2 linked regions of the Tribolium castaneum genome follow. The protein of the gene in region 1 purifies or fractionates together with the protein of each later gene. This does not show direct contact. Links are inferred from orthologs where the notes say so. Each region holds a gene or a part of one and is shown on either strand. Other genes may lie near its edges. The genes, in order: trp and norpA.

Region 1 (4,563 bases):
ATTTTAAATCTCGTGAAAAGTTGGTATAATACAGAAAATGAGCCGCTGAATTCATTGGAACAAACCGCATAGCTCTACGACTTTTAGTTTTTGAGTTATGAATTTTTTTATTGAATAAAATTTTTCATTATAGAAATTGCCTATTTTAATTTTTTGCAAAAAATTTTAAAATGTCAGATCTCGTTGAAAGTTGGTTTTATACAGAAAATGAGCCGCTGAATTCAATGGAACAAACCGCATTGCTCTTTTAGTTTTTGAGTTATGAATTTTTTTATTCTAAAACTTTTAGTCTAAGTTTTATAGTTCCGGAGTTATTGCATGATGAATGAATAAAAATTGTCTATCTACTTACCGGTTCAGCAAACGCCAGATTCCTCAATTCCCACGACAATTGAAACGCTGTTAAAATCGGATCACTTGACGAAAGTGCAATCAAAGACGGACTTGCCAGAGCTTTGTACTCGTTTAGTCTCGCTAACGAGTGTCGTAAATAATCCTCTTCAGATTCTTTGATACATTCATCACATCCACATCTACGATTTTTAGTTATTTTTATTTATTTTTTTATTTATGGTCGTACTTGATATCATGTGGCATCGGAATAGTCGCTCCTCTGTCTAACAAAATTTTCAAAATTTCGTAATTATTTCGATGGGCGGCCAAAGTCAAGGGAGTGATATCAGGTGTGAACATGGCAGTGTTGATGTCAACTTTTTGCCAACTCTGCAAAATATTTGCTCAAATGAAGCAAAATAAAGTTAACAAAAACTTACATAAGGCTCCCCATCTTTGTGGATCAACTCCTCGTGTTCCAACAAAAGCTCAACAGCTTCCACAAACTCTACGTGAATAGCATGCAGAAGAGCATCTCTAGTTTCCACTCCCATGATCACCAGGAGTTCCACCATTTCGAGATGCTCTTGGTCGATGGCAATCGATAAAGCACCACGTCCTAGACTATCCACACAATTAATATCAAACGATTTTTTCCGGTGGGCTTTTTGCAACATTCTGGAAGAAATAATCGTGTTACTTATTAAATTGTGTTGGTGGTTATTATTTATTCCATTACCGGCGAACATTTGCCATGTCTCCACGTTCAATGGCCAATAAATATTTTTTTTCTTCAATTGAAAGTGACTTGGGCAAGTTGGGCATGATTAGGGTCTTGCGTGTGACTTTAGCCTCAACATCAACCTATCACAAGACAATTAATTAGGGGAAAATTTAATGAAACTTACCGAATCCCCCATTTTGCACAAATTTAGGCGATCACATTACTCTCTAGAAAAATAGGGCGAGTAATAAGTTAGTAATAATCTTGTAAGCGCTTATAACTATGGTCTAATCACATTATTGTCTTTATTAAATTAGATTACACCAAACGAGTGCATTACACTAACCGACTTTTTGGTAAAATTACTATTGGTTTAAATGCAATAAAGCAACTAAGAAAATTGATTGCGCCAATAAGGAATTTTTGGTGATTTTTTCCAACTCAAAACTCCTATTATATAACGCTCCTGGGAGTAATCCTCTTGGCTTTGTCCCGCATTTTAATTCAATTAATAGTGAGGGTCAATACAAACTTGAAAGTATTCTCGATGCGACAAGTGATTGAAAATGTTTGGATCTGATTGTAATAATGAAAGGGCGTTAAGTCAGGTGGAAAAATCGTTTTTGCTTCATGCCGAAAGGGGTGATTGTGCTACAGTTCGCAGGTAATTTTTTATAGCATATTTCATTGTCAGTTGTTTTGAGTGGGTAAAATTGCACTTTAACAAGGGTAGATAAAATATTATTTTAACACTAATTTTTTTCTATTAAATTACTTATTGAAAAAATGTAGTATACATGACAATAAAGATGGTTGATGGTCTTTTAATTAATTATAATTTCAGTTTTCCATTTTTTTTGTTTTTTCTTTGCTGTTTTAGAGTTTTTTAATTTTGTTTTTGTATTCCATTTTCTAAGTTTTTTGCTTTTAAAAATAAACAAGAAATTAATTGCGAAAAAAATAATAGGATAATTGAGGAATATGGTGGTGGTGAGGGCGATCAAGAGTTTGATATAAACTGCATCGATGCTCTAAATCGCTCAGCGTTCGTTATAGCAATTGAGAATGGAAATATCGAGCTGGTGAAGCTTCTCCTTGAGTCGCAGATTGACGTTAAAGTAATCGCAAGTAATAATAAGTTTTATTTTTAGTGCTGCGAAATTTTAATTGCAGGATGGATTGCTTCATGCAATAAATGAGGAATTTGTGGAAGCGGTTGAAATGCTTTTAGATTGGGAGGAGAGGACGCATCAAGTTGGCGATTTGTACAGTTGGGAAAAAGTCGAACGGTGTTCGGCCACTTTTACACCTGATATTACACCTCTGGTCTTAGCCGGGCATAAAAATAATTACGAGATTATTAAGCTGTTGCTGGATAGAGGAGCCACTCTTCCATTGCCTCACGATGTCAAGTAATTAAATTGAAAAATGAAAAATTACACTATTTAGGTCGAAATTTCTGATTTTTTGACTAGAAAAATGTGCTTAATTTCGACTTAATTTGGTGTTTTTTTTGGTAATTCTCTTAGTCTGTTTTGCGCAAAATGAGAGATTGTACAAGAACAAGTTTAAACCGAGGAGCCGTTTTCAAGTGCATAAAACTTTGCTTTAGTGATTTAAAAAAACTGCAACCGCAATGCTCTACGACTTTTAGTTTTTTTTTTATGAATTTTTTTAGTGAAAAACTTTGATCGCTTCTGTAGCCAGAACCGTTGCCCGGAGGGGCTCCGGGTTTGGTCGAAAAAATAAATAAAATTAAGCGCTATCAGATGGTTTTTTGCTCGTTGCTCTAAGTCTTACAGTTTCCGAGAAAAACGCAAAAAATGTTTCTATTTTCACTTTTTTTCAATTTTCAACCGCCAATTACGGCCAAACTATTAGAGTTATCGAAAAACGGAAAAATCGTGGACAACCGGAATAAAAAACTCTACAAAATGGCATAGGACTCAAGGCGATATCTCGCAAAAAAATTCAATTTTCATACGCCGATTACGGCCAAACTAAAAGAACTAGGAGAAAACGCTTTTTTCCATCAGAAAGAGCACATCAAAATCTATAAGATAGAATAGGTTTTATTTGACTTTGAGACATTTTTAAAATTGACCGATTTTAAGGGGGGGGTGTTAACTTTTTTTTAATTTTTTTATTTTCTCATTTACGGTTAAACTATTTTAAAATGTGGAACTATTTTGATCCATATCTATGCAAAATGATCCGGGGAATCGATTGGCATCGAGAAAATTACCAAATTCCGAATAGTTTTTTAGTTATGAATTTTTTAAAATTTCACCAATTTTTGCATTTGTCAGCAATTTGCTCGAAAACTATAAGTCAGAGAACATTAATCTTTTTTGAAAAAAATAGATAATCTAAAGAGCTTTCCAACGATAATACACTTCATGGGATTATCTCTGATAGTTCCGGAGCTATTGCTCGACACATGTTCCGGGTACCCAAAATCGACAAAAATTACGACGAAAATTGAAAAAATCAAACATAAAAAAATCGAATATTTCACTTTTTGTGGACTTTTAACAACTCTAGAGGGATGTAAAAGCATATAAAAGTCCAAAAAACTATAATAGGACAAGTTTAAAAAAAAATAATTTTTCCACCTTTTTGAAGGTAAGTAAGTGTATTAAGCAAATTTTAAGCAAAATAATTCAAAATTTTAAATCTCGTGAAAAGTTAGTATAATACAGAAAATGAGCCGCTGAATTCACTGGAACAAACCGTTTTGCTCTACGGCTTTTAGTTTTTGATTTATGAATTTTTTTGTTGAATTGTTTTTGTTTTCTTCTCAACTTTTTAAAATTTGTACAATTAATTCGGCCTCTCGGTTCAAACGTTCGAAAATTTTTTTTAATTTTTTTCCTGATTAATTTTTAAGATGTGGTTGTGACGAATGCGTTTGCTCAAACCAAAGTGACTCTTTACGACATTCTCAAGCTCGGATCAACTCCTACAAAGCTCTAACATCCCCTTCACTCATTTCCCTCTCATCCACTGACCCTCTATTTACTGCTTTCGAACTTTCGGGCGACTTGAGACGTCTCAGTCGACTAGAAACCGAATTTCGAGCCGAATATAACGTAAGTTATTTTTTTTCTAAACCCAACTTCACCTCACTCACTTGTAGAACATGCGAACTGTTGTGGAAAATTTCGCAGCTTTGCTCCTAGACCATGTAAAAACCTCAGAAGAATTAATGATTCTGTTGAACTACGACGAAAAAAATCCTTCATGGGTTTTGGGCGAACAACAAACTTTGGGACGCTTAAAACTCGCCATAAAATTTAAACAGAAAAAATTCGTGGCACATCCCAATGTCCAACAAATCTTAGGCACAATCTGGTACCAAACAGTAGATATTTGAAAATTTGAAACGTTTTTACTACAGGGTGATTCAGAAAATACAGGTGTTCCAGATCAGTATAACCAAAAATATTTTCTTAAAATACGTGCTGGGCCACCCTGTATTTAAATTAATAAAAAATTACGTTTTT
Region 2 (4,344 bases), about 3.6 Mb from region 1:
CGGCCCCTTCGACCACCCAAAAATCAAAAACTAAACCACCCTATTACACCTTTAATCATATGAATGCAAGTATGGCTGGTAAAACTCTAGTCGGGGATAAAACCTTGGTAGAAATGCCCCCTTATGGGTTTAAGAACGTTGGCTCGATAGGTGGGTCAGGGAAGAAACAACCCAAATTGGGCACAAAGCGACTTAATAAAACAAAATAAATTATTTTGGAACCAAATATGAACGTGTAATGTGTTTCTTGTTATGTAATTCGGTTAATAAAGCGTCTCAAAAGGATTAAAGTGCGCTATTATTGATTTATTGCTAATTAAATTACGGAGGATATAATAATAGACGAGTCAAGAAAACGTTTTATCGGCTTGGTTACAGTAATGACAGACGGTTCTGCGAGGCAGGGCGGTAAGACTTTTTATTTTTACAAAAATAATATATATAATATATATTATATTATTATATAATTAGAACATTAATTTTTCATTTATTTCTATTATTGCAAAAAGAGACTCCAGTTTCCTTATTGAAACTGCTTATTCTGCGGTTTTGTCAAATTCTGGCAATTTTGGCCCCCTGCGTAAGCCACTGTTCCGCTACCTCCTGCCAAATACAAAATTCGGAAGTAAAATTACCGTTGGGGGCGCCACTGAGCTAGGTCGAAAACAGTAACCATAAATGGCGGGAAAATGTTTATTCGGATATTTTGAGCGTTGTACGAATTTTGGGGCTTCACAATTATTGCATTGTCTATGCGAAATGATTATTGTATCTTTGATGCAAAGAAATTTATGTTGACAAATGAGAGATGACGAGGAAAACACGAATAACGAATGACTTTTTGGTTCACTTTCTTTATTGGAAAATTACTACAAAGACATTGAAAAGCCTACCTTTTGGCATAATTTACGTTTAAATGTATCAGCAGTTGTTAATCTTTATTGTAGTTTTGTAGATTTACCGCAGTATTTCATGATTTTTTCAGTGGAAAATTCTAACCTAAAATACACACACTTCACTAATTTATTGGTTTCTTAAGCCAAACTATGTGTTCACTGTGATCCATTACTTATAATCTTTAATTAGACAACTGTTTGATAACACTTTGTAATCAAAATTTAAATATTTTTCACTTTTTATCCACTTTCAAGTTCCAACAATAAACACTTTATACCGCGAAAAACTACAGAACCAAAGTCAACGCTAGTATTTACCACCACGTACTTTTAAAGTGATTCTTTCTATTGTAAGTAATTAACACTATACACGCAAAATTGTTGAACAATTCATTAAATGTCAGTTAAATGTGGAATTTTTACTGTTTTCGACAGAGTTCAAAAGTCATCACCAGAGGGCGTCTAGTTAATTTTATTTCTGAATTGCCGCGCTCGCTTATTGACGTCTGACGTAACATTTGACGTAAATGTCAAATAAATAAACATGTCCCTTGCACAAAGATGAGTTTTTCGTGCTCGCCGCTTAACGTTTTTACTTTTCGTTGAACTAGCCATGAATATCGTCTAATTGTCTTGCATCTAGCCGATCATGACGAAAAAATTCGAGTTCGATTGGCATGTCCCCGTGCCGGAGCCCCTGCTCACGGGCTGCGTCGTGGACAGGTGGTCGGAGGAGCCCAACGAAATCGAATGGAAAGCCCTTTTCCGGGTGGACGAGTACGGATTTTTCATCTATTGGAAGAGCGAGGGAAAGGTGAGGTGGCGGGTTTGTGTGGAGGCGGGTTCATGGGGCTGTTTAGGAGGGCGACGTCATCGAACTGTGCCAAGTGAGCGATGTGAGGGCCGGTGGGCTGCCCAAAGACCTCAAACTGTTCAGCCAGCTCGAAAGCCGACACGGGCCCGATCTTGAGAAGAGATCGCTGACCATCTGTAGCGGGACCGACTATATCAACATTAATTACCAGCACATCGTGTGCCCCAATGCCGAGACGGCAAAGGTGGGTTTTGCCTCCTCCCTTAATGTAAAAAAATCAATAAATTTGGCCACGTTGATTTTTCGAAATTAAAATTTTGCAATGTTAGGTTTGGTTGGACGGTTTGCGAAAGATAACACATAACGTGAAAGCCAATAACTTCTGTCCGATGACGTGTTTGAAAAAACAGTAAGTTTCCGCATTTAGGGAAAAACTTGCGCATGTGAATGTCTGCACTAACTTCTGCATGTTTTCGTTGCGGCGACACTTGATTGTTTATAAATTTGTTTTTTGCATGGCTTCTGCAGATCTGGCAGCAAGGTTTGAGGAGCATTACTCACAACAATAAAGTTGTTAACGTTTGCCCGAGAACTGCCTTGATGAAACAGTGAGTTTTTGTACATAGTTTCTTGGGGACGTAGCTAGTGTTGCTTGCATACAATTTTTTTGAAACAATTGGCACAAGTGATTTTTTCCAGTTGGATGCGACTCGGTTTTCTGACCGATGCCAAGGGTAAAGTGCCCGTCAAAGTCGTAGCGCGTACTTTCGCCTCCGGCAAAAGTACAGAAAAGTTGGTTTATCAGTGTTTGGCCGACTTGGATCTACCGAACGGCAAAAACGCAGTCATGGAGCCCGAGCAATTCACCTTCGAGAAATTCTACACTTTGTATCACAAAATCTGCCCTCGGAACGACATCGAGGAGCTCTTCCGCAGCATGTAATGCGCTCCTATCACGGAAACTATATTCCAATTTTGTAAATTCTAGTACGCAAGGCAAAGCCGACTATATGAATCTCGAGCAGTTTATTAATTTCCTCAACGAGAAACAGCGAGACCCGCGTTTGAACGAAATTTTGTACCCACATTATGACGCGAAACGAGCGTCCGAAATAATTGCCACTTATGAACAAGACGAGGAGGCGAAGGCAGCAAATAGGTTGACAAAAGACGGTCTGATTAGGTATTTAATGTCGGACGAAAACGCTCCGGTGTTTTTGGACCGTTTGGACATCTACATGGATATGGACCAGCCTCTATGCGCCTACTATATAAATTCTAGTCACAATACGTATTTAAGTGGCCGCCAGTTTGGCGGTAGGTCTTCCGTTGAAATGTACAGACAAGTATTGCTGGCGGGGTGTCGCTGCGTCGAACTCGACTGTTGGGACGGTAAGTAATACAGCGTGTCCAAAAAAATGGGCAATAGCAAAATATTTAGGCCGAGGCGAAGACGAGGAGCCGATCATAACCCACGGACGCGCCATGTGCACGGACATCCTCTTCAAAGACGTAATCTACGCAATCCGAGACACCGCTTTCGTAACATCCGACTATCCCGTAATCCTCTCCTTTGAGAACCACTGCTGCAAAAGCCAACAGTACAAGCTCGCGAAATATTGCGACGAAATCTTGGGCGATTTGCTCCTCAAAGAACCACTTCCTGACTATCCCCTTGAACCAGGCCTCCCGTTACCGCCACCTTCATGCCTCAAGCGTAAAATTTTAATCAAGAATAAGAGACTCAAACCAGAGGTGGAGAAACAAGAACTGGAGTTGTTCAGACAGGGGGAGTTCGTTATCGAAGATGAGGAAAAAGAGGATGCGAGTGCGTCCGCAGACCGGCCTATACCACCGGATATTTCGGCTGAAGTAAGTTGGGAAAATTCTGTATGCAACTCGTGCAAAGTATGATTTAGACACCGGCGCCCGATGGGGGGGCTGGTGACGGGGACATCGCAGCGCCGCCTATAATACACACGGGGTCGACTACTAATGTGCATCCGTGGTTGAGTTCGATGGTTAATTATGCCCAACCTGTCAAATTCACTAGTTTTGATTATGCGGAAGGTACTATCAATTTTAATTATCAACTTTTTCTGATTTTATTCATTTAGAGAAAAACATACATTACAACATGTCAAGTTTTTCGGAACCTGTCGGCTTGAATTTGCTCAAGACTCAGGCGATTGAGTTCGTCAATTACAACAAACGCCAAATGTCGCGCATTTACCCGAGCGGCGCTCGGGCCAACTCGTCGAACTATATGCCGCAGGTTTTCTGGAATGCTGGTTGTCAAATGGTCTCTTTAAATTTCCAAACTTCCGATCTTCCCATGCAACTCAATCAAGGCAAATTTGAGTACAACGGCAACTGTGGTTATTTATTAAAACCGGATTTTATGCGACGTCCCGACCGGACTTTCGATCCGTTCGCTGAAAGTCCAGTAGATGGCGTTATTGCGGCCCAATGTTCGGTCCAGGTGATCGCTGGGCAGTTCTTGTCCGACAAAAAGGTTGACTTTTCGTTGGATTATCCTAGGTTTGATTTAGTGTTTTTAGGTTGGTACCTACGTCGAGGTCGATATGTACGGCTTGCCGACCGATACGATCCGACGCGAGTTCCGAACTCGGA

The links.
Region 2: the proteins of trp (region 1) and norpA purify together in Drosophila melanogaster (affinity purification with western blotting; 3 studies listed by BioGRID). This does not show direct contact. The link is inferred for Tribolium castaneum from reciprocal best matches to the Drosophila melanogaster genes trp and norpA.

The regions. Positions count from the first base shown.
Region 1 is NC_087402.1:543,005-547,567, reverse strand, and holds the start of trp (transient receptor potential protein), read left to right. Parts: upstream 1-1,558; 5' UTR 1,559-1,623; coding exon 1,624-1,721; intron 1,722-2,024; coding exon 2,025-2,175; intron 2,176-2,230; coding exon 2,231-2,469; intron 2,470-3,947; coding exon 3,948-4,149; intron 4,150-4,196; coding exon 4,197-4,411; intron 4,412-4,563. Other genes in the region: trpl (transient-receptor-potential-like protein), read right to left, coding at 353-533, 581-723, 774-1,011, 1,073-1,197, 1,242-1,253. UniProt on the Drosophila melanogaster protein: A light-sensitive calcium channel that is required for inositide-mediated Ca(2+) entry in the retina during phospholipase C (PLC)-mediated phototransduction.
Region 2 is NC_087402.1:4,187,859-4,192,202, forward strand, and holds the start of norpA (1-phosphatidylinositol 4,5-bisphosphate phosphodiesterase), read left to right. Parts: upstream 1-1,398; 5' UTR 1,399-1,545; coding exon 1,546-1,710; intron 1,711-1,756; coding exon 1,757-1,954; intron 1,955-2,039; coding exon of another isoform or gene 2,040-2,119; intron 2,120-2,238; coding exon 2,239-2,318; intron 2,319-2,409; coding exon 2,410-2,649; intron 2,650-2,698; coding exon 2,699-3,102; intron 3,103-3,151; coding exon 3,152-3,582; intron 3,583-3,629; coding exon 3,630-3,780; intron 3,781-3,827; coding exon 3,828-4,225; intron 4,226-4,271; coding exon 4,272-4,344. Other genes in the region: uncharacterized protein LOC103312731, read left to right, coding at 1-209. UniProt on the Drosophila melanogaster protein: The production of the second messenger molecules diacylglycerol (DAG) and inositol 1,4,5-trisphosphate (IP3) is mediated by activated phosphatidylinositol-specific phospholipase C enzymes. Essential component of the phototransduction pathway.